Linked DNA regions of Caenorhabditis elegans. The protein of the gene in region 1 interacts with the protein of each later gene in a pairwise test. Each region holds a gene or a part of one and is shown on either strand. Other genes may lie near its edges. The genes, in order: zip-1 and nhr-170.

Evidence for each region.
Region 2: the proteins of zip-1 (region 1) and nhr-170 interact in a two-hybrid assay, tested with the Caenorhabditis elegans proteins (one large-scale study listed by BioGRID).

The regions. Positions count from the first base shown.
Region 1 is NC_003281.10:12,331,977-12,343,202, forward strand, and holds the start of zip-1 (BZIP domain-containing protein), read left to right. Parts: upstream 1-4,930; 5' UTR 4,931-4,947; coding exon 4,948-5,229; intron 5,230-5,275; coding exon 5,276-5,375; intron 5,376-5,689; exon of another isoform or gene 5,690-5,816; intron 5,817-8,890; coding exon 8,891-8,980; intron 8,981-9,038; coding exon 9,039-9,161; intron 9,162-9,845; coding exon 9,846-10,081; intron 10,082-11,226. Other genes in the region: zip-12 (BZIP domain-containing protein), read left to right, coding at 65-286.
Region 2 is NC_003283.11:18,792,527-18,806,291, reverse strand, and holds nhr-170 (Nuclear Hormone Receptor family), read left to right. Parts: upstream 1-5,465; 5' UTR 5,466-5,472; coding exon 5,473-5,597; intron 5,598-5,647; coding exon 5,648-5,784; intron 5,785-6,439; coding exon 6,440-6,651; intron 6,652-8,323; coding exon 8,324-8,542; intron 8,543-8,804; coding exon 8,805-8,900; intron 8,901-8,948; coding exon 8,949-9,043; intron 9,044-9,807; coding exon 9,808-10,186; 3' UTR 10,187-10,231; downstream 10,232-13,765. Other genes in the region: sri-10 (G protein-coupled receptor), read left to right, coding at 120-335, 848-976, 1,028-1,149, 1,697-1,893, 1,947-2,067, 2,115-2,208; C54E10.10 (Late nodulin), read left to right, coding at 2,932-2,964, 3,234-3,368; C54E10.11 (FIP (Fungus-Induced Protein) Related), read left to right, coding at 4,137-4,154, 4,701-4,859; nhr-231 (Nuclear receptor domain-containing protein), read right to left, coding at 11,553-11,931, 12,634-12,728, 12,778-12,873, 12,944-13,156.

The DNA.
Region 1 (11,226 bases):
TTAGAATTTCCCAATAAAATTGTAAATTTTTCCAGAATATTTTTTTAAAAATAACTTATTACAGGAGCATCATCGTGAGACAAAACTTGCCGAGTTGGCAGACGAATATGTTAAGCAAACGGTACCAAAAGCTGCTCCCCTAGTCACCTCAATTCCTAAAGACATGTTAGATCAACTAATTAAAAACAATAAAACTTTGGATTTGGAAGAGCTGTGCCGTTTTGTTGCTGATAATTTGTGTTTGTTACAAAATGATAATGATGATAAAGAATCTGTTGTTAAATAAATTATGGAATTTATCCGATGGTTGTACTTTTTGAAAATGTGTTCTTATTCATTTATTCTCCTTGTAGTCTAAATATTTTTGCCGGAATGGAACATTTCCGGCAAGTTCGGCGAACCGGCAATTTGCCGGACTGGATATTTTCTGACAAGTTAGGCAAACCGGCAATTTTTCGGAATGGAAATTTTCTGTCAAACCAGCAAATTGCCGAATTTGTAAATTTCCGGCAAATCGACAAATTGCCGGAATTGAAATTTCCGGCAATTCGGCAATTTGACGGAAAGGAAAATTTCCGGCAAGTGCGGCAAATCGGCAATTTGCCGGAAAAAAACACTTCGGCAAGTTGTGGGTTTGCAAGTTTATTTTCTGGAAATTTCAGAATTTCAAAACGATAATCGCAACATTGCCATAATTGAATTTTCTGGCAAGTTAGGCAAACCGGCAATTTTTCGGAATGGAAATTTTCTGACAAGTTAGGTGAACCGGCAATTTTTCGGAATGGAAATTTTCTGGCAAGTTTGGCAAACCGGCAATTTTTCGGAATGGAAATTTTCTGGCAAGTTTGGCAAACAGGCAATTTTTCGGAATGGAAATTTTCTGACAAGTTAGGCAAACCGGCAATTTTTCGGAATGGAAATTTTCTGGCAAGTTAGGCAAACCGGCAATTTTTCGGAATGGAAATTTTCTGGCAAACCAGCAAATTGCCGAATTTGTAAATTTCCGGCAAATCGACAAATTGCCGGAATTGAAATTTCCGGCAAATCGATAAATTGCCGGAATTGAAAATTTCCGGCAAATCGATAGATTGCCGGAATTGAAAATTTCCGGCAAATCGATAGATTGCCGGAATTGAAAATTTCCGGCAAATCGATAAATTGCCGGAATTAAAAATTTCCAGCAAACCGGCAAACTGGCAATTCGCCGATTTGCCAAATTTACCGAACTTTTAGTGCTGGCGCGTTTCCTCAGTACAAAATCGACACTCAATTATTTACAAAAAAAAAAATTTTGCTGATAAAAAGGGAGTATAAATATCACCTTAGGCAAGTATCAAATCCAGTCGGCTTCTTGCCTGATTCCTGCGTAATTTGGTCAGTCGGGATTTTGTATGAATATTCTTCTAATAGGTAAACGTAACCGAATATTGTTTTAAAAAAGGCCAAAAAAAAACTCCTTTCCTTTTAAAAACTCTCATTTTGTCGAATTAGTTTGTGATTCCGTGTTCCCCGATTTCGAGAGTTTATGGAAGCTAAAAGGTTAAAAGTCGTTTCGAGACGCAAAAATCTAGAAATATGATTTAATTTTGAAAATTTTAAATTCTAAAGTTATAAAAATAATTTATTCCCTGCGTTTTTCGATATTTTAGTTCACTTTTTGTACGAAAAGTTTCGCATTTCTGCTTCTCTGAGGTAAAAAAAGTTAAGTCAGTAAGTGCGCTCCATCGACAAAAATGGTTTTTTAACTGAAAAATGTGTTTTTTCTCCTTTAAAATTGAATTTTTTACAGGAAAATCAAATTTTGGATACTTCAAAAGGAAAAAAATAGAAAAAAAACGGAACGAATCCAATGTAAAGTGAGTTTTTAGCTCAAAATTATGATTTAAAATGCAATTTTGCAACAAAAAAGAAAAATGAATTTAAATTCTTGTTTTTGAACAAAAAATCGATTTCCATGGAAAATTTAAATTTTTAGTTTTTTTTGTAATCGTGACGTTTCTGTGCTCCAATCGGGCCAATTTCCTCAGCACGGGTCTCTTTTTTTTCTGTAAAATTTCGTTGATAAGAGCCCAAGTACACCGCAAGATTTTATTTGTGTCGTTTCGAAAAATGACTCACTATTATTTATTTGTTCTGCTCGCCGCTGCACGTAGTTTTTTTTTTTTTTTGAAAAAAAACTCGAATCGGAAATGGCAATCAGGCCACAAAAATCACGCATTTTTTCTAGAAAAAGTGCCGAAAAATTTGATTTTTAGAGAAAATTTGGAATTTTTCGTAATTTTTTCCAGCACATTTTGAAAAATTCCCATCATTTTGAGGAAAAAACTCTCAAAATTGCAGATTTAACCGAAATTTTATGAAAAATTCCAAAAAACAGTGCAGAAAGTTTCAAATAATTGAACATTTTTCGAATTCTTCTGAATATCACAAAAAAACGAAATTTTTAAATTTAGCTAAATTCCCTCCAAAATTAAAACTGCGACCAATCAGCGATTTGCTCCGCCCACTTTTCAACCAATCAGGTGGGATGGGCGGAGTTTGAAGATGATGATTGTTCATGGGGGTGGGCGGCAAACGATTTTTTCCGGCAAATTCCCGGCAAATCGACAAATTGCCGGAATCGAAATTTCCGGCAGATCAGTAAATTGTCTGATTTGAAATTTCCGGCAAATCGACTGCAAATTGCCGTAATTAAAAATTTCCGGCAAATAGGCAAATTGCAGGAATGGAAAATTTCGGCAAATCGACAAATTTTCGAATTTGAAATTTCCAGCAAAACGACATTGCCTGTATTGAAATTTCCGGCAAGTCGACATATTGCCGGAATAGAAACTTCCGGCAAATCGACAAATTGCCGGAATTAAAGTTTCCGGCAAATCGACATATTGTCGGATTTGAAATTTCCGGCAAATCGACAAATTGCCGGAATTGAAATTTCCGGCAAATTGTCGGATTTTGAATTTCCGGCAAATCGACGACAAATTGTCGGTATTGAAAATTTCCGGCAAATCGACAAATTGCCGGAATTGAAATTTCCGGCAAATCGACAAATAGCCGGAATTGAAATTTCCGACAAATCGGCAAATTGTCGGATTTGAAATTTCTTTCGGCAAAAACCGGCAAATTGTCGGATTTTGAATTTCCGGCAAGTCGCCATATTGCCGGAATAGAAACTTCCGGCAAATCGACAAATTGCCGGAATTAAAGTTTCCGGCAAATCGACAAATTGTCGGAATTGAAATTCCGGCAAATCGACGACAAATTGCCGGATTTGAAATTTCCGGCAAATCGACAAATTGCTGGAATTTGAATTTCCGGCAAAAACGGACAATTTGCCGAATTTGCCGAAAAAAAATTTGGCGAACCGTCCACCCCTGATTCGGTCATTTAAAGGCGCACACTGGTTTCAAAACAAATATTGTCGCGTCGAGACCCTTTTCGCTAAAATTAGATCTTGTTAGCTTCGAAGATACACTACTTGTCTCAACAAATTTACTTTCTTCAAACTGATCTACAAGGCCAAACTACGATCACTTTTTGTGTCGATCTTTCCTTCCGATCACATCATAGGACTACAGACAGCACTCTCTCCATTTCCCACACTATTTCTTGTCTGAGGAAATGCGGACAGCGTAAACAGAAAATTTCGTGTTTCTTTCTCTCTCGCTCTCTTCGTTATCAGCACTCTCTTCTCTGCTTCACTCTGGCGCCCTCTCCCACCCCATCGCCTAAAATTTTAAAGTGAGGAAGACCCCATTCGCTTCATTTCTGCCTTCGATTTCTGTAGTTTTTACTATTTTTGGAAGTCTAATTTGTTGGAAAAAAGTTGATTTCAATTAATAAATAGTACTTAACGTGAGTATTTCAAAATAGCCATGCAATGGAAGGAAAATCAGGAATTAAGCAAATGAATTGCACAGTTATATATAGTTATTAAAATTTTGCAAAAATAGATGTAAAATCTCCAAATTCCCACTTTTTTGTGCACAATTTGGAGGCTTAAGCTACGTGTTAACTTAGACAAGTTTTAGGCAGGTAGGCATCTAAAATTAGTAGCGAAATTGAAGGTTTCTGCTAAATTTGGCCTGTTTGAACAGTTTTTCATTTTTGATTGGTTCAAAAAATTGCCTGGGATTTTCTTGTTACGAACTATATTACCGATCCAGACAGAGAGAGAGAGCGTGTGTAGTCAATTGAAGAGACACAGACATCTCGGGACCCAAAGGGCGGTGCGCGGGGGAAGAGCCGATTTGTGTCGATTTACGGAGCGTTACTCTTAAAGGAGGACTAACGGTTCGAACAATTTTGAACGTATAGACCCAAAATGGACTCAAATGAACGAATTTCGTAATGAAACTTCTCAAAAAATTTTCAAAAATTTTTTATGGCGGTTCAAAATTTTGAAAAAATTGCACTGATTTTAGCTAAAATATCGAATTTTGCCCATTTTTCCGGGGTCGCAAAAATCAGTTCAGAACTCTGCGTCTAAATTTCCGCGATTCTCGTAGATCAAACCGATATGGGGCACTCTGACACCACGTGCACACTGTATTTATGTATTTATGACGGTTCAAATTTTAGCCAAATTTAGCTGAAATCTTCAATGTTGCCTCTAGGTACATTAGGCATCTAATTTTAAATGCCTACAGGCCTAAAATTTGCCTAACAGTTAACACGAGATAGGAACGCAAAATTGGAGGTTTTAGTTAGGTTTAGCTTTATTTTTTTGAAGTGTTACTCTTCCGTAAATCGACACAAATTGACTCTTTCCCGGGTCCCCAGATGCCTGTGTCTCTTCAACTGACTACACTCTTTCTGGATCGGTAATAGCTTAGCCTTTGTAGCATTCTCTGAAGTCCGATCCGATGACTCGTTCCGTTGTTTTTTTCCTGCAAATTTCCCAGTTGAAAATTCAATGCACACTTTTCAGAAAAGAAACTATCAAAAATGAACAATCAAAATAACAATTTCGTCGATTTCTCGGAAGATGATGATATGATGGATGCGGACTTTTTGGTAACTAGCCTTGAAAATGCGCCGCCTCATCCAATAACCGATTATTCGCAGGGAGTCGTCATACCGGATGACCTGATGAACGCTTCTCTTGAGTTTCAACGAACGGAGCCTTTTTCATTCATACCAGCCGAGGAGGATTTGGCTCCGATGGAGATTCTTCCGAATAATCAAGGGGATGTTGAAATGACGGCGGTGGATAAGAATCCGGATAAGGTATATTAAATAAGAGTTAGGCCCATGAATGCTTACCGGTTTCTAGGTATTGTTCGAACTTCGCGTCGAGACCCAAATTGAGCCAACTCTCAACTATATAAACGCGGAGAATGAGGCAGTTGAATGGGATATAAAGAGTTATTATGGTTAGTTGAATAACGGGTGTATAAATATAACGGATGTATAGTATTAATATATATATATATACAGTGCGTGCAACTTCTATAGCGCCCCCTATTTTTTTCGATTTTCAGTACTTTCCAAAATTTTTTTCGAAAAACGGTAAATGCCATTCGATTTTAAATGTCGAAAAACCCCCTTGTCGTAAATTGTCGTAAAAAACCCCTTGTCAAAAAATATGCGCTATAGAAGTTGCACGGTCGTTTTTAAGACTTTTTGACCTATAGTCCTCGCAGTGTTTGATATTTTTCGATAAAAATTTACGACAAGGGGTTTTTTGACATTTAAAATCAAATGGCATTCACCGTTTTTCGAGAAAAAAAAATTGGAAAGTACTGAAACTCGAAAATAATTGGAAGCGCGATAGAAGTTGTTCGCACTGTATATATATATATATATATATATATATATATATATATATATATATATATATATATATATATATATATATATATATATATATATACCAGCCGTGGCTTCTGGAGCTGACTTCTGGAGCTGAAAACCAATTTTTCTGAAACTACCGTAATCATACAGTACTCCTACCGTGCCACCATTGTACCACTACAGTACCCCAACTGCAGACTACAAAGACTACATAGACTACAAACTATGGACAAACGGAATAAGCGCTTTATATATAGTAAATGATAGTATTATATACTATAGTATTAATATATACATATATCATATATTATAGTATATATATATATATATATATATATATATATATATATAGTAATATATTATAGTATTAATATAGTATTAAAAAGTATGATATAAAAATCACCCGAAAATGGTGATAGGAGGAGTATAAGGGATGATTATCTCGAAAAATCATATATTTCTCTTGTCGGAAATAAATGTTAGCAACAGCAACATAAACATGATTCATACTTCCTTCGGAATTGCTAACACTTAAATTTTTTTCCCTGATCAATGACATTTATTACGATAAGCAGCATATGTGATCAATTAGCTGGTCAGCTATATAATTTATCATTAGGAATAATTGAAATTGAAAAACTTTAGAGCATTAATACTTTAGAGCATCACCGAAAAATCAGTTTTCAGTAATTTTTTTCCTAGTAAATTCGTAAAAATTTATTCCATTTTAAAGGCACATGATGTTTTTTCTGAGTGGGTCTCGTCACGATCTCTGTGCATGTGCAACATTTTTGGATATTAAAAGTTCGAAAGTGCACATATATAAAGCCAGGATTTATATGTATATGCGTGCCAGGCGTGGGCGGCAATAGGCAAATTGCCGGTTTGCCAATTTGCCGAAAATCGTGAATTCCGGTGATTTGCCGATTTGCCGAAAATTTTCAATATCGGCAATTTGCCAATTTGCCGGAAATTTTCAATTCCGGCAATTGCCGATTTCCCGGAAATTTTTAATTTCGGCAATTTTCCGATTTGCCAGAAATTTTAAATTTAGGCAATTTGCCGGTTTACCAATTTGCCGGAAATTTTAAATTCTTGCAAATTGCCGATTTTCCGGAAATTTTTAATCTCGGCAAATTGCCGATTAGCCCGAAATTCACAATTCCGGTGATTTTCCGATTTGCCGAAAATTTTCAATTTCGGCAATTTTCCAAATTTCCGAAATTTTTCAATTCCGTCAATTTTCCGATTTCCCAATTTGCAGGAAATTTTCAACTCCGGCAATTTTGCCGATTTGCCTGAAATTTCCAATTCCGGCAATTTTCCGATTTGTCGGACATTTTCAATTCCGGCAATTTTCCATTTTGCCGGAAATTCTCAATTCCGGTGATTTGCCCATTTGCCGGATATTTTAAATTACTGCGATTTTGCCGATTTGCCTGAAATTTCCAATTCCGGCAATTTTCCGATTTGTCGGACATTTTCAATTCCGGCAATTTTCCATTTTGCCGGAAATTCTCAATTCCGGTGATTTGCCCATTTGCCGGATATTTTAAATTACTGCGATTTTGCCGATTTGCCGGAAATTTTCAATTCCATCAATTTGCCGATTTGCCGGAAATTTTCAATTCCGGCAATTTTTCGATTTCCCAATTTGCCGGAAATTTTCAATTCCGGTGATTTTGCCGATTTGCCGGAAATTTTCAATTACTGCGATTTTGCCGATTTGCCGGAAATTTTCAATTCCATCAATTTGCCGATTTGCCGGAAATTTTCAATTCCGGCAATTTTTCGATTTCCCAATTTGCCCGAAATTTTCAATTCCTGTGATTTTCCGATTTGCCGGAAATTTTCAATTCCGGCAATTTTTCGATTTCCCAATTTGCCCGAAATTTTCAATTCCTGTGATTTTCCGATTTGCCGGAAATTTTCAATTCCGGTAGTTTGTCGATTTTTCGGAAATTTTCAATTCCATCAATTTACCGATTTGCCGGAAATTTTCAATTCCATCGATTTTCCGATTTTTCGGAAATTTTCAATTCCATCAATTTACCGATTTGCCGGAAATTTTCAATTCCATCGATTTTCCGATTTGCCGGAAATTTTCAATTCCGGTAATTTGTCGATTTTTCGGAAATTTTCAATTCCATCGATTTCCCAATTTGCCCGAAATTTTCAATTCCTGCAATTTGCCGGTTTCTCAATTTGCCCGAAATTTTCAATTCCGGCGAAATTGCCGATTTGCCGGAAAAAATCGTTCTCCCCCACCCTGTGCACCTTAGAATTATAAATATTACAATTTTCTACATATGACATCATACATCATATGAGCGAATCTTTAAAATTTGCCCGCCCGTGCTGAGATCGTGGCGAGACCCACTTAGAAAGCACCGTGCGCCTTTAAAGTAGAGTGGCGAATTAAAAAATGTTTTATTTACGAATTTATGATAGTTGAATTGGCAATTATTTTAAAGGAATTTAAATAATAGGAAATAATTGCTGATCGATTTTTGGAATTTACAGTTTTTACCGTTGAAAATTGAAAAAAATATATTTTCTTCCTCATATTTTTTTGCAATTTTAATTGTAATAAATCAGGTTTCATTCCTAATTAAACCAACTAATTTCACATTATTCCTCATAATAAATCAATCATTTCTGATTTTTTGACCCGTCGCTAATTGATGCCGAAATAGGCGAAAATAGGCGTGGTATTGGGATACTACAGGCGGACATATATATATATATATAAATTGATAAGAGAAATTGGCGGTTTTATAGACTAATAAAGTGGTGTTCTTTTTTGCTCATTCTTAATTCGTTGGTTCATTTTTAACTTAAAAAATTGCTGATAATTAGCGGAAAAAATGAATGTCTACATTTTTGTTCCTTTCCGGATACGGGAGACTGTTATTAAAACGGAAATTGGTTAGTCATCATGGTGCCAGGCTGTCGTCCCATCACAGTTTGATCTACAAAAAATGCGGGAAATTTTTGCCCAGGAAAATGTGACGTCAGTTGAAAAGTCTGCCGCATTTTTTGTAGATCAACGTAGATCAAACCGTGTTTCATCCGAATTCTAATTTTTTTGCAGATTTCGATAATCCACAACGCCCAGCACAAGCTGATGAAGCCGCCACATATCAGGAAAATGGCTACGGATTTGTTGATTTTCAGCCATTCGGTAAGGCTTAAAGCTTAAAGGCTTAAAGGCTTGAAGGCTTAATTTCCAATATTTTCAGCCCAGCAGCAGCAGCCTGCTTACAATGGGAATGAGCCGGAATTCTTGATCCAAAGAATGCAAATTACCGATGAGACGTATGCAAATGCTCATTTCCATCAGAATGAGTATGCGATTGAAGAAAGTGAGAAAATTTCTGGCAAATCGGCAAATTGACGAAATTGAAAATTTCCGGCAAACCGGCAAGTTGCCGGAATTGAAAAATTCTGGCAAATCGGCAAATTGACGAAATTAAATAATTTTCCCGTTGCCTACCCGCCTGCCTACAGGCATTGCATTAAAAAGGAAAAAAAACTAATTTTTTGCGTGTTGGTTTTCTTGGAAGATTTGAATTTCCGCCAAAATTTTTTTGCCAAAAAATTTGAATTTCCCGCCAAAAAAAAATTTTCAAAAACAAAAAAAAATTGAAAATTTCTGGCAAATCGGCAATTTGCCGGAATTAAAAATTTCCGGCAAATCAGCAAATTGGCGGAACTGAAAAATTCAAGCAAATTGTCAAATTCGCGGAACTAAACATTTCCGGCAAATCGGCAAATTGGCGGAATTGGAAATTTCCGCCAAACCGGCAAATTGCCGGAATTGAACATTTCTGGCAAACCGGAAATTTGCCGGAATTGGAAACTTCTGGCAAACCGGCAAATTGCCGGAATTGAACATTTCCGGCAAATCGGCAATTTGCCGGAATTGAAATTTTTGACAGATCGGCACTATTGCCGGAATTGAAAATTTCCGACAAATCGGCACTATTGCCGGAAAAAAATGTGAATTTTTTCAAAATTTTTTTAAATCCCAATTTTTTTCTTTTCAGAGCCCTCTCTTTTCTCTCCGTCTTCCACTCCATCCTACTGCTGCACAAGCGGTCCAATAAGCCCAGCATATACTCCAATTGGCAATAATGCAAATGCTTGTGCTCCAACGAGATCCCGCCGTACCTCCACAGCCAGCAACAAATCTGGTGGAAAAATCGGAAAAGTGGCGAAGCTCGGCGAGAAATCGAGCGGCGAGAAGAGAACTCGCATGACAAAAGCCGAAATGAGCCGATTGGTGAGCTTTTGAAGTGAAATTTTGCGGCGATTTTACATATGAATTTCCGTAAATTTTGCAAAAAGTAGCCTTGCCGCACATAAAAAGAGGCGGAGCCTAATTTTGCAAGTTTGCGGCACGGTTTTCCTCTTTTTGTTGAAGTTTTTCGTCCGAAAAAGTCAATTTTGTCAAAAAAGGAAAATCGAATTTTTATTCAAAACAACCAACAATAAAGGATGAAAAACTGTGCGGCAGGGTTGCGAAATTAGGCTCCGCCTATTTTTGTGTGCGGCGCCACGGCTTTCAATTTTTTTTTCATTGTTTTTTCGCGATTTTTCAAAATTTAAGTGTTTTTTCACTAACAATAAATTCAATTTTCCATGAATTTTGCAAAAAGCAGCGTCGCCGCACAGAAAAAGAGGCGGAGCCTAATTTTGTAAGCCTGCAACACGGTTTTCCTTTTTTGTTGAGTTTTTTCTTTCGAAAAAGACAAATAAAATCGAATTTTTATTCAAGAAAAACCACCAAAAAATGGAGGTAAAACCGTGCGACAGGGTTGCGAAATTAGGCTCCGCCTCTTTTTCTGTGCGGCGACGTTGCTTTTTTCCAAATTTTTGCAATTTTTTCTCGCTATTTTTCAGAATTTAAGTGCTTTTTCACTAACAATAAGTTCGATTTTCCGTGAATTTTGCAAAAAGGACGCAGAAAAATGGGCGGAGCCTAATTTCGCATCCCTGCCGCACGGTTTTTTGTTGATTTTTTCACATTTTCACACTTTCGTTAGAACAAAAAGAATAAAACCATGAAAATCAAAATTATATTGAAAATTTTTTTTAACCGTGCCGCAGGCTTACAAAATTAGGCTCCGCCTCTTTTTCTGTGCGGCGACGCTGATTTTTGCAAAACTTTTTTATTTTTATTTGGAAAAGTAGACGATGAAAAATGGATAAACTAAGAATTTTTGAATTTTTTCCATGAATTTTGCAAAAAAGAACATCGTCGCACAGAAAAAGAGGCGGAGCCTAATTTTGCAAGCCTGCGGCACGGTTTTTTGTTGATTTTTCGCTTAAAAAACTTTTGATTATGCCTGATTTATTCCCTTTTTCGAATTAAAATGTTAAACAGAAAAAATTTTAAAAATCAACAAAAAAAACCCGTGCCGCAGG
Region 2 (13,765 bases), on another chromosome or scaffold:
AAAAATTTAAATTTGTATAAAATTTCGAAAAAAACAAATTTTTTTCGAAATTTCAAAAAAAAAAATTTTTTTTTCAAATTTTTTTTTTCAAATTTTTATTTGAAAAGTTCAAATTTCAGAGTGTCTCAATGCTCACGGAGCTCTACATGTCCTGGATATGCCCCTCATACTTCTTTTTCCCATTGGCCGGTGGCTATATCCTGGAGGAGAACTTTCGAAGATTCGTGAGCACACACGCGAGCTTGACCATTTGGGTTTTCATTTTTTGCTTCGTTTTGTCGGCTGCTCTGACATGTTTTGTATACCGACATAATGCTGCAGCACAAATTAATCAGGTAAAAAGTTGAAAAATACCAATTATGAAGTTTTTGGCCAAATGGCGCAGTGGGAGTTTCGTCGGCTACCAATCACACGACCAGGGTTCGAGTCCGCACTGTGACAAAAATTTTTGTTTCATTGTTTTTTTGTGTTTTGAGGATTTAGAACTCAGATTTTTCAGTTTAAAAGCTCAAAAAACTCGAAATTTTATGTTGAAATTTTGAAAAATCGAAAATTTGTCTAAAAAATCAAAAATTTTACAACTAAAATATGAAATCATCACTTAAAACTAGTTTTTCTACCATTTTATTCAATTTCCACCAATTTTGAAAATTTTGTCCAAATGGCGCAGTGGGATTTTCGCCGACTGGCAATCACAAGGCCGGGGTTCGACCCCCGCTTTGGTCGAAATTTTTTTTCGCTTTGTTCTACTTGCTCCAGGGTAATTTAAGTGTTCTGAATCCGAATTTCATAGTTTCAAGATCTGAAAATCCGTTTTTTTTTCGAAAATTTCACAAATTTTTTGCAGGACTACTCGGGAAAGATGTATTTCGAAAAACTCCTGCTAGTTTTGACGCACATTTTCCCATTTTTCACTGGTTTTGGCACATGGATGTCGCAATTGACTTACGAGCAAAAATATGACTATGTTAGGCAGGTAATGGACATCCGGACACCCAGACCTACTTTTTTCCTCGAAATTTTACAGAATTACCCCCAATGCTTGAGCTGGATGGCTTATGATGGCTTTGAAGCTTATAACTGGCAAGTGAACACGTGGATTCCAGTGGCAGGGCTCGGAGGAATTGGTTGGGTCTTTGTGGTTGCAAGGTAAACTGATAAAATTGAAGATTGTCATTAAAACCAAATTTTCGACATTTTTCAATACTCATTGAAGTTATCATAAAATCTGAAAATTCGAAAACCCACAGTGGGGACTCGAACCCCGGTCGTCAGATTTGTAGCCGGCAAAAATCCCACTGAGCCAATTAATTAAAGTGAAAAAAAGGACCTGAGAACTACGCAAATCTAGTTTCTAACTCGATTCTCATAATTTAAAAGTTGAAAATTCAAAAATCTCGCGTAGAAAAACCTATCTACCCCACCGGGGGCTCGAACCTGAGACCTATTCCCCCCAGTCAAGCTTCTTACCCACTGCGCTATGCTGTGCATTCTTTTGCGGCGAAGGGGGCACTCGTGGCGCAGAGGATAAGAGGCTTGTCTATGGAGCAAAAGGTCACGGGTTCGAGTCCCTGTTGAGGCAGATAGATTTTTTTATGCGGGAATTTCAAAATTTTAGGTTTTAAAACCTTGAAAATTTGTTGAAAGAGCATTTATAGGTGTCACAATCAATTGAGGTATGAATAAATTTTTCCAGCTACTGTTTATACCTTGGCGTACACACTATGATGATTCTCCAACGTTTACGTGCTCACATGTCCCCCCAAACCTACCAAATGCACAGAACAGCCCTCATAAGCCTGACCATGCAAATGGTGATCCCCGGAATGCTTCTAACAACCCCTTTGTACATGATTCTAGTAGTAATTATGACAAATTCATTGGCTTTTGAAGGTAATAGAAAAGGTTTTCAGAAAAAAAGTTTTTATCGAAAAAAAAATTTTCAGAGCTGGCCTCCACCTTCTCCTTCCTAATGTCCTCCCACTCAATGTGTCAGTGTTTTGTAATGGTTATGAGCAATGGGGTATACCGACGGGTACTTAAGGAGAAGGTTTTCAGATTGTTAAGGTTCTTTTTTGAGAAAAAAAATTCTCAAAAAAAAAAAAAAAATTCAGACTTCCAGTTCCAAATGAGAGTCAGGTGGGGAGCCTCGTTGAGCCAAGCATGAGAATTTCGAATAATTTTGTGGGAACTGTACTAAATGCTTGAAAAAGTAAGTTTTATTATAAGTTTTTGAATTTCCGCCAATTTTGAAAATTTTTTCCGAATGGCGCAGTTGGATTTTCGCCGACCTCTAATCACAAGGCCGGGGTTCGAGTCCGCACCGCGGCACAATTTTTTTTTCCATTTTTAAAAATTGTTTTAGAGTATTTTTGAGACGTAGAATTCAAATTTTTAAGTTTGGGAACTCAGAAAGTTTTAGAAAATGTCGAAAATTTGGTTGCAAAAATTTTCTTTTTTTAGTTTCAAAGTGGATTTTTGTAACTAAAATGTGAAAATTATGCTTTAAGCAGCTTTTCTATCACGTGCTCCGAATTTTGACCAATTTTGAAATTTTTGTCCGAATGGCGCAGTGAGATTTTCGCCGACTTTCAGTCATAAGACCGGGGTTCGAGTCCGCACCCGGGTCGGAATATTTTTATTGTGTTTCTTGGACGGTTTTGAGTAATTCTGATGTGTAGAATCTGAATTTTCAATTTTTTGCAACGCTAGATTTTCGGAAATCATCGAAAAAATCAATTTTAGCTCAAAAAAAAATTAAAAAAAAAACAGTTTCTGAGTCACGGCCCCAAACGCCCACTAAGAAATGCAAATTTCCATTTAAAATTTCCATCGTCCTCACATCAAACATTAAATCAATAAAATTCTTTGAGAACACGATTGAAATCTATAAAAGTTACCCCCAAAATATTAAGACCGACATATTTTAATATGGCGCTCGAAAATATGAAAATGTTCATTTTGGTAAGTGTTTCTAGAGTTTAAAAGTTGAATTATCATCAATTTTGAGCTTAAAACCTTAAAAAACCTAAGAAAGCTCAATTTTCAAAAATTTTGTCCGAATGGCTCAGTGCGATTTTCGGCGACTACCAATCACAAGACCGGGGTTCGAGCCCCGCTGTGGCAGATTTTTTTATTTACGTTTTCTATAGTAATTAAAGCTTGTAAAACTTGAATTTTCAATTTTTTTTTAGCATAAAAACTTATAGGAACGCCAAAAATTAATGTTTCAGATCGCTGCTCTCTTCCTATTCGGAGCCCTTTGCCAAGACAATGCCCCGGCATTTAATGCAGCTTCTCAAATCAGATTTACGTGTATTCCACAGTGTCATCCTACTCACATATGCGTCTTGGGAGTATGTATCTGAATTTTGAATAAATGTTGTTATATCAAGACCGTTTTGTTTTTACTGGAAATTGTTTTTTTTCAGACGCATAGTCGAATTGATTCAGCATTAGTTTAAAAAAAGAGTGCAACATACCCCTGAAATCACCAAAATCTAGTTTCCAACTCGATTCTCATAATTTAAAAGTGGAAAATTCAAAAATCTCGACTAGAAAAACCTATGTGCCCCATCGGGGGTTCAACCCTGGCTCCTATTTCCCCATAGTCAAGCCTCTTCCCGACTGCGCAGGTTCGGGTCCCCGTTGGGGGTATTTAGGTTTTTATAGGCGAGATTTTCGATTTTTTGGGTCTTAAAACTTGAAAGCTGAGTTGAAACCCTTTTAAATTCGCACATTTTTGAAAATTTTGTCCGGCTGGCGCAGTGGGATTTTCGCCAACTTCCAATCACGAGACCGGGGTTCGAGTCCGCACGCTGGTCGATATTTTTTTCTAGTGTTGCTTGAACGGATTTTGGGTATTTTTGATGCGTCTGAATCTGAACTTTAAAGTTTTTTTTGCATCATCTTCTTGGAAAACTTCGAAAAAATCAATTGCCAGTTCAAAAAATCAAAACCATTTGTGAGTCACTTTCCCAAACGCCCACTGAGAAATGTAAATTTTTCTTTGAAATTCCCATCGGCCTCGAATCAAACACCGAAATAATGGAAATTCCTTGAGAATACGATTAAAATCTATAAAAACTAGCAGGAAAACATTAAGAACCTCATATTTTAGTGTGGCGCTCGAAAATATGAAAATTCTCGTTTTGGTAAGTGTTTCTAGAGTTGAAAACTAAATTACTTTTGAATTAGTCTAAATTTTAAAAAAAATCGGACAATATCTTGAAATTTTAAAATTTATGCCAGAATGGCTCAGTGGGATTTTTGCTGACTACCAATCACAAGACCGGGGTTCGGGTCCCCGCTTTGGTAAAATTTTTTGTTATTATGTTTTCAGGATGTTTGAAAAGTATAAACTTCAAATTTTGAGGTTTCAGAGAAAAAACATCTGGAAAATACCAAAAATTTACTTACTCAACAAAAAATTTTCAAATTTGAAATTTTCAAATTAGAATCAAAATTAGTGTTACACTCACATTTACATATTTCCCGCAAATTTTTGAAAATTTTGTCCAAATGGCTCAGTGTGATTTTCGGCGACTGACAATCACAAGACCGGGGTTCGAGTCCCCGCTGTGGCAAAAAATTTTTTTCAAGTGTTTTCAATCATATTTAGACGGATAAAATCGAATTTTTCAGTTTAAGAATATACAAAAACTTCTAGGAATGTCAAAAATTAAGCTTTGAAATTTCAGATCGCTGTTCTCTTCCCATTCGGAGTTCTTTGTCAAGACGAAGTCCAGGGATTCGGCGTAGCCCGCAATCGTACTCGCAGATGGTGTGACCCACCGTGCAGAACTTTTCACAGATGCTACTTGGGAGTATGTCGTTATGTTCCAAACATTCCATGGTGAACAGCCTAAGCTCTGAATATTGAATAAATATTATCATACCGAAATTGTGTTGTTTCAACAAAACATCTAAACTTTAGAGAACTGTGTACATGCAATTCAAGCTTAGTTTGGTCGATTTGCTTTGAAATTCTCAAAAATTGAGAAAAGCCCCCCTAAAATCTCCAAAATCAATGTTCCAGCTTGATTTTCATAAGTTAAAAATTGAAAATTCGATTTTCTCGCATAGAAAAACCTATGTACTCTGTCGGGGGTTTTTCTATGCGAGAATTTCGATTTTTTAGGTTTCAAATCTTGAAAACTGTGTTAGAACCCGGTTTTTCGAGAAAATTTTGGTTTATTTAACTAAAAATTATATTTCCTATGACAATAATGTATGCATGTTTCCTGGTGACTAATACCTGCTGATGTTCCTACTCTGCGTCTCGTGCTTTTTTCCCTAATATTTACTTTTCCCCTGTCTCTATTTCACCTCTTATCAAATTTCTCACTTTTCATCTATGAAATATATTACGATTTTCACATTTTCCATAGATTTTTACATTAAAAATTGAGAAATTTTGAGTTTTTTTTCCTCAAAAATCGATATTTTGTCGCCAAAATTCAAATTTTCAGAATGGAATTTCCATCATCCTCGTCAGAAATGACATATTTCACTGTAAACTGTGAAATTTGTCAAAAAACCAGTCACGGTCTGCATTTTGGGCTTGAAACTTGTCGTGCGTGTGCTGCATTTTTCAGGTAAGCTCTAGCGGAATTTCGGAGCATCGTACCGGAGAATTTTTTTCCAGGCGCACCGTAGTTTTGAACCGAAAATACAAATGTATCCAGAAAACTGGAAAATGTGAAATTGGAGCCGGTGGCGAGGAGAAGCTGTGCAAATTTTGCAGATTTAAAAAATGCATCGACTTGGGTATGACTACTGAAAGTGAGGGTTTTTTTTCTCAAATTTTCGTTGAAAATGCAAACTGTGAAAGCAAAATAATTTAAAAAATTGTATTCTCCGCAAAATTTCCGAAATTTTGACCCCCATATTGACTATATTCAGGAAATTTATGTTTTCGGGCCGAAATTGGCCGATTTTAGGCCGAAATAAAATAGAGTCTACTCACAATTGCAAAATTTCATACAGTTCCTAAAATTTAGCGCCTAAATTTATAAGTTTTTTGAATTCGGGCCGTTTCAGGCCGAAATAGGCCGAATTTAGGCTTAAACTGAAAATAATACTATAAATTTCGGATTGTTCACAATTTCTAAAATTTTAAAACCCAACCACAATTTTTTAAACTATAGCTAAAAATAAGGTTGTAAAGGTTTAACTCGACAAAAATTTTTGCATTCAAAGAAAAACCTCATAACATGTCTCACACTGATCTAAGTTCGGCCTATCTCGGCTTATTTCGGCCCGAATCGACTCAGAAACTATACAACGAGTACTGGCGTCAAAACTTTGATTTATTTCAATTCTCAGAAGAGATTGCTTATTAAAGTTTGCAATGTTTTGTTTTAGGCTAAAATTTGGCCTATTTCGGCCTATTTCGGGCTAAAACTTTTTTTTTTCAGTTTTTCAATTTTTTTTTCAGATGTACGCACAGATTTCAAAGACGATTCTGAAGACACCAGTTCTCAATCCCCTCAATCCACGTCATCAATGGAAGTGACGTCATCACAGCAAATTGTCGCCAAAGTGCGGAATCGGGTGGAATATTACATAGTTAACCCGAAAACTCAAGCACCTGCAATGCTTATTGATGTCAATGCAATTATTAAAGAAAGTAGAGCAATTTTGGAGACGGTAGGTAATTTTCAAAAATTTGTTTCAAAAAAGTTTGAAAAAATTCTGAAAAAGTCAATTTTCCGGTCTAAAACTGGCTTAAAAATAATCTTGTGAAATTTAATCAATACTTATTTTTGAATTTGAAACCCATATTGCTAAATTGAATTGAAAAATTGTTTTCAGGACAGATTTCGGCCTGAAACGGCTTATTTTGGTCCGAAAAGCCGGCCCAAAACGGCCTGAAAGCACAAACTGTTAAAAACAACCGATTTGTATGTCACTTTTGTACAAAATTCACAAAATGCATTTTTTGTGTGTTAAATTTTGAAAATTCGGAGATCAAGCCTGAAATGAGGCCCAGAACGGCCCGAAAACTGAAGTTTTAGAAATATACTCAAAATGGGTTTTAAAATTTTAGAAATTGTGAACAATCCGAAATTTATAGTATTATTTTTCGAAAATTACTATTATTTTCAGTATAAGCCTAAATTCGGCCTATTTCGGCCTGAAACGGCCCGAATTCAAAAAACTCATAAATTTAGGCGGTGTTAAGTTTCCAAATTTTAAGAACTGTATGAAATTTTGCAATTGTGAGTAGACTCTATTTTATTTCGGCCTAAAATCGGCCTATTTCGGCCCGAAAACATAAATTTCCGGAATATAGTCAATATGGGGGTCAAAATTTCGGAAATTTTGCGGAGAATACAAATTTTTAAATTATTTTAAATTATTTCGAAACCCATATTGCTAAATTGTTAAAAAAATTGTTTCCAGGGCAGATTTCGGCCTGAAACGGCTTATTTTGGTCCGAAAAGCCGGCCCAAAACGGCCTGAAAGCACAAACTGTTAAAAACAACCGATTTGTATGTCACTTTTGTACAAAATTCACAAAATGCATTTTTTGTGTGTTAAATTTTGAAAATTCGGAGATCAAGCCTGAAATGAGGCCCAGAACGGCCCGAAAACTGAAGTTTTAGAAATATACTCAAAATGGGTTTTAAAATTTTAGAAATTGTGAACAATCCGAAATTTATAGTATTATTTTTCGAAAATTACTATTATTTTCAGTATAAGCCTAAATTCGGCCTATTTCGGCCTGAAACGGCCCGAATTCAAAAAACTCATAAATTTAGGCGGTGTTAAGTTTCCAAATTTTAGGAACTGTATGAAATTTTGCAATTGTGAGTAGACTCTATTTTATTTCGGCCTAAAATCGGCCTATTTCGGCCCGAAAACATAAATTTCCGGAATATAGTCAATATGGGGGTCAAAATTTCGGAAATTTTGCGGAGAATACAAATTTTTAAATTATTTTAAATTATTTCGAAACCCATATTGCTAAATTGTTAAAAAAATTGTTTCCAGGGCAGATTTCGGCCTGAAACGGCTTATTTTGGTCCGAAAAGCCGGCCCAAAACGGCCTGAAAGCACAAACTGTTAAAAACAACCGATTTGTATGTCACTTTTGTACAAAATTCACAAAATGCATTTTTTGTGTGTTAAATTTTGAAAATTCGGAGATCAAGCCTGAAATGAGGCCCAGAACGGCCCGAAAACTGAAGTTTTAGAAATATACTCAATATGGGTGTCAAAATTTTGCAATTTTCACAAAGAATTCAATTTTTTTGGTTTAGACTTCGGAAATTCTCAATCTTTACATTTTTCAGCGAATTTCAATTTTTTTTTGCAGCACTATTTTCCCGACGAAGACCTTATTGCTCATCTGAACCCCCTTCAGCGGATGTCCCACTCATTGCACAAAATCCGTGAGAAACAGTCCTGGAGCCCGGAATTTTTTGAGCACGTAAAATTTTACAAAATGTTCCAGTGGTGGGAGGTACAGATGCGGGATACTGCCACGTGGCTTATGCATTCGGACGAATTTCGGAGGCTACCGAGTCATGAGAAGGTTTTTTTCGAATTAGGCTTAGGCCTAGGCCTAGACTCAAGCTTAGGCCTAGACTCAGGCTTAGGCTTAGGCCTAGACTCGGGGTTAGGTTTAGGCTTAAAACATTTTTCTAGTTTTTTTTGGTAGTTTGTCTGAAAATTTAAAAAAAAAATTCTGAAAATTTTTTTTTTCATGAAAAGGTAGTGTTGATTAGGCTTAGGCTTAGGCTTAGGCTTGGGCTTAGATTTAAGCTTAGCCTTAAAAAAAGTCTCTCAATTTCCAGATCGCAATTTTCAAAATAGTGTGGGCGGTGTGGCGGAGATTCGAGAGGTACACAATGTCTGCTCAAATGTTCGGTCAAAAATGCTATGACGAAAAAGTAACTGAAACGGCCTGAAATAGTCTGAAAATATTAAAAATTTCTCAGATTCACGTTCACAATCACCAATTTGCCGCGAGATTTGGCAATTATCATATCGATTATTCAAACGTGTCGGATCACGGCTTTGAGCGGTTTAACAAGTGAGTTTCCGGACTTTGAAGTTAAAAATTTGAAATCTACATAAAATTCGCAAAATTGTGACCCCCATATTGACTATATTCTGAAAATTTTAGTTTTCAGGCCGAAATAGGCCCATTTTAGGCCTGGAAGCCAAAATTGATGTAAATTAAGAGATATTATGAAAATTTGACATGTATATCTACTGCTTTCCAAATATCGTCTTTCTAAGCCAAAGTAGGCCATTTTGGGCCACTTTGGGTCACTTTCAGGCTTGAAAACTGATTTTTCAGAATATAGTCAACATGGGTGCCAAATTTTTGGCATTTTTTAAAAAATAGTTGACTGTAATATTAAGTTTCCAAAAAAATGAGTTTTCAGGCCAAAATAGTCCGTTTTAAGTCAAAATCTAAGCCTGAAAAGTGATTTTTCAGAATTCAGTCAATTTAAGAGTCAAAATTTTGGAAATTTTATTGCAATGCAGATTGTAATATAAAGGTTCCAAAAAATTGACGTTTCAGGCTTTACTTTCAGGCCTGAAAACAGATTTTTCGGAATATAGTCAATATGGGTGTCAAAATTTCGGAAATTTTGTGTAGATCTCGAATTTTTACCTTGAAATCACTTAAAATGCTCTAAAAATATGCAAAACACCAATTTTGTCATACTCTTCAAAATTTTTAGTTTTCAGCTTTATTTTCAGCCCAAAAGACCCATTATTGGTGTCAAAATGCTCCAAATTTTACGTAGAATCCAAATTTCTTACTGAAAAATTCAATTTTTTCAGTGTATTCGGTGGAAAAATGATCAGATATTTTGACATAATCGTGAAGCCATACCTGGAACTTAATCTCTCTGAAACTGAAGTCACCTATATTTTATGTCAAATCGTCTGGAATTATGCAGGAAGACGGCTTCAAGGACAAACCCAAGCGGCTGGAGAACGATTTTTAGAGGAAATTTCCAATAATTTGCATAGTTACTATGAAGAAGCTGCTAGAAAAGAGGAAAATCCGAAAAACTATGCGTCAAGGCTTACGAAAATGATGCAAATTGTCAATGAAATGCTGAGTATTCAGTTGAAACGAGAAAATACTATGGATATAGCAATGTTGTTTGATATGTTTAATATTGTGTTCACTGAGCCCGAATTTTTCAGGGTTTGAGTGGAAAAATAACGAAAATAAATCGTTTGATATTTTGTGTGAAATTGTGAAGTTATTTTAGAATTTTGTAACACACATAAGTGGACTTGAAACTAAAAAATTCAAATTTGGCGTGAAATTTCCAAAATTTTGACACCCATATTGACTATGATCTGAAAATTTTAGTGTTTAAGCCAAACTGGGCCGTTTTCAGGCCAAGTTTAGGCCTGATTGTCAAACTTCTTGAAAATACCCAGTATAGGTTTAAAATTTTGAGGAGTGCTATGCACATTTCTATTTTTATGCTGATCTTCGAAAAATCCACTTTTCAGTCCGAAATGGGCCGTTGTCAGGCCAATTCTAGGCCTGATATTCACTTTTCCTGAAAATAGCCAATATATGTTTAAAATTTTGAGGAGTGCTATGCACCTTTCTATTTTTTATGCTAATCTTCCGAAAATTCACTTTTCAGTCCAAAATAGGCCGTTTTCAGGCCAATTCTAGGCCTGATTGTTACGTTTTTAGAATATAGCTAACATGGGCGTCGCATTTTGGGAAATGTTATGTACACATCTATTTTGCTACTGATGACCTAAAAATTTACTTCTGGGCCGAAACGGGCCGTTCTAGGGCAAAAACAGGCCTGAATACTAACTTTTCAGAAAGTAGCCAATATGGATCATAATTTGTTAGAATTTCTGTGTAACGTTCTAAATTCTCCACATCAGTCTGATTTTTCAGTGTATTCGGCCCGAAAACGATCCAATTCTTCGACGACAATAGTCTACCTGAACCGAAATAGGCCGTTTCAAGCCAAATTCTAGGCCCGAAATCAATATTTTCACAACGTTGTGTCAAATTGGTAACTTTCTTCCGGACTTCCGAAAAAGGTAACTTTCAGGCCGAAATAGGCCGCTTCCAGGCCAATTCTAGGCCTGAAAGTAATTTTTCAGAATGTAGTCAATATGGGTGTCGTATTTTGGAAATTTAATTTCAATGTTGACTGTAATTTTAAGTTTCCGAAAAATTGACTTTTCAAGCTGAAGTAAGCCGTTTTAGGCCAATACTAGGCCTGAAAATCAATTTTCCAGAAAATAGTCTATGAAAGTTTGTGAGTTTTTTTTTGAAATATTTTTCCGGAACATTTTCTGAATTTCTGCAATTTTCTGAAATTTTCAAAAAAAAATTCCGAATCTCTGAAATTTATATGAAATTTTTCTTAAAATTTGTGAATTTTCTTCAAAGTTTTTGAAAGTTTTTCCAGGTTTTCAGAGCTGAAACTTGCTAGAAATGTCTGAAAATTTCTGGAATTTTCCTGAAATTTTTTGTAAATGCTGTTTCCATTAGAAATTAAAGATTTCATTGCTTTTTTACTATAAAATTCCCCTCAAACCCTGAAAAACTCGGGCTCGGTAAACGAAATATTGAACATATCAAACAAAAGCGCCAAGTCCATGTCAGTTTCCTGTTTCAGCTGCATTTTCAACATTTCATTGACAATTTGCATCATTTTCGTAAGCCTTGACGCATAGTTTTTCGGATTTTCCTCTTTTCTAGCAGCTTCTTCATAGTAACTATGCAAATTATTGGAAATTTCCTCTAAAAATCGTTCTCCAGCCGCTTGGGTTTGTCCTTGAAGCCGTCTTCCTGCATAATTCCAGACGATTTGACATAAAATATAGGTGACTTCAGTTTCAGAGAGATTAAGTTCCAGGTATGGCTTCACGATTATGTCAAAATATCTGATCATTTTTCCACCGAATACACTGAAAAAATTGAATTTTTCAGTAAGAAATTTGGATTCTACGTAAAATTTGGAGCATTTTGACACCAATAATGGGTCTTTTGGGCTGAAAATAAAGCTGAAAACTAAAAATTTTGAAGAGTATGACAAAATTGGTGTTTTGCATATTTTTAGAGCATTTTGAGTGATTTCAAGGTAAAAATTCGAGATCTACACAAAATTTCCGAAATTTTGACACCCATATTGACTATATTCCGAAAAATCTGTTTTCAGGCCTGAAAGTGGCCTAAAGCCATAATTCCAGACGATTTGACATAAAATATAGGTGACTTCAGTTTCAGAGAGATTAAGTTCCAGGTATGGCTTCACGATTATGTCAAAGTATCGGATCATTTTTCCACCGAATACACTGAAAATGTTGAATTTGTAGTAGGAAATATGGATTCTAAGTAAAATTTGGAAGCTTTTGATACCCATTTTGGTTTTTTTAGGCCGAAAATGGAGAAAAAGACTAAAAAAATTTAGGTGGGGATTTACTATTAGGCTCTATTACTATTACTATTTTGCCGTACTTTTGAATCTTTGAAAAAAAAACAGCTTTTGTTTAAATTTTGAAATTTTTTAAAATAACCTTCCGTACAAGATAGCATAAAAATAGTCAATATGGGTGTCAAAATTTTGGAAATTTCATGGCAAATTCAATATTCTTAGTATCAGGGCTTACTTCTCAAAAGTGTGCGGACCCTGGCTCCATACATGTGAATAATCAACGCAATAGCTCCCAAATCTTGCTGCAAACTTATGGGAATGCAGAAGAATCTGGAATAAATTTTTTTAGAATTTTGATTTAGGTAAGACTCCTGCCTACTTTTTCATCATAACATTTTTGTCCGAAAACTTCAGCAGACATTGTGTACCTCTCGAATCTCCGCCAAACTGCCCACACTATTTTGAAAATTGCAAGCTGGAAATTGAGTAACTTTTTTAAGGCTAAGCCTAAATCTAAGCCCAAGCCTAAGCCTAATCAACACTACCTTTTCATGAATTGGGAGCCCTCTAAACTCCCGGCAGTTCATAAGCCACGTGGCCGTGTCTTCCAGCTGCTCAGCCCACCATTGGAACTTTCTGCCAAACTTGATAGTGGTAAAAAATTCTGGGGACCCTGACTGTTTCGATCGGATTTTGTGAAGGGACTCTACCATCATTTGGAGTGGATTTAAATCTGGAGCCACGTAGAAATTGTGGTTCTGAAAAAAATTGAAAAAAACTGAAAACTGTCAAGCAGAAAATCAAAAATTTTTTTTTTAATTTCCGAAAAATCCTTAATACAATCCTAGAAAATTTCAGCAAAATCTAGAATTTTTTTTAAAAATTCTAAAACTTCTGAAAAATCACAGGAATGTTTTTAAAAAATCTAGAAATTTTTAAAAAAATTCTAAAAATTCATTAAAAATTCTAGAAATTCACAAAAACTTATAGAAATTCAGAAACAATTCTAGAAATTCAGAAACAATTCTAGAAATTCAGAAAAATTCTAGAAATTCAGAAAAAAATTATAGAAAATCAGAAAAAATTTTAGAAGTTCAAGAAAAATGCCAGAAATTTTTTTAAAAATTCTAGAAATTCAGGGAAAACTTTAGAAATTCAGGAAAAATCCCAGAAGTTTTTTGAAAAATTCTAGAAATTCGGAAAACATTCTAGAAGCACAGGACAAATTCTAGAAGTTCAGGAAAAATTCTAGAAATTTAGAAAAAAATTCTGGAACTTTGGGAAAAATTCTAGAAATTCGGAAAAAATTCTAAAAGCTCAGGAAAAATTCTAGAAGTTTAGGAAAAATTCTAGAAATTCAGAAATTT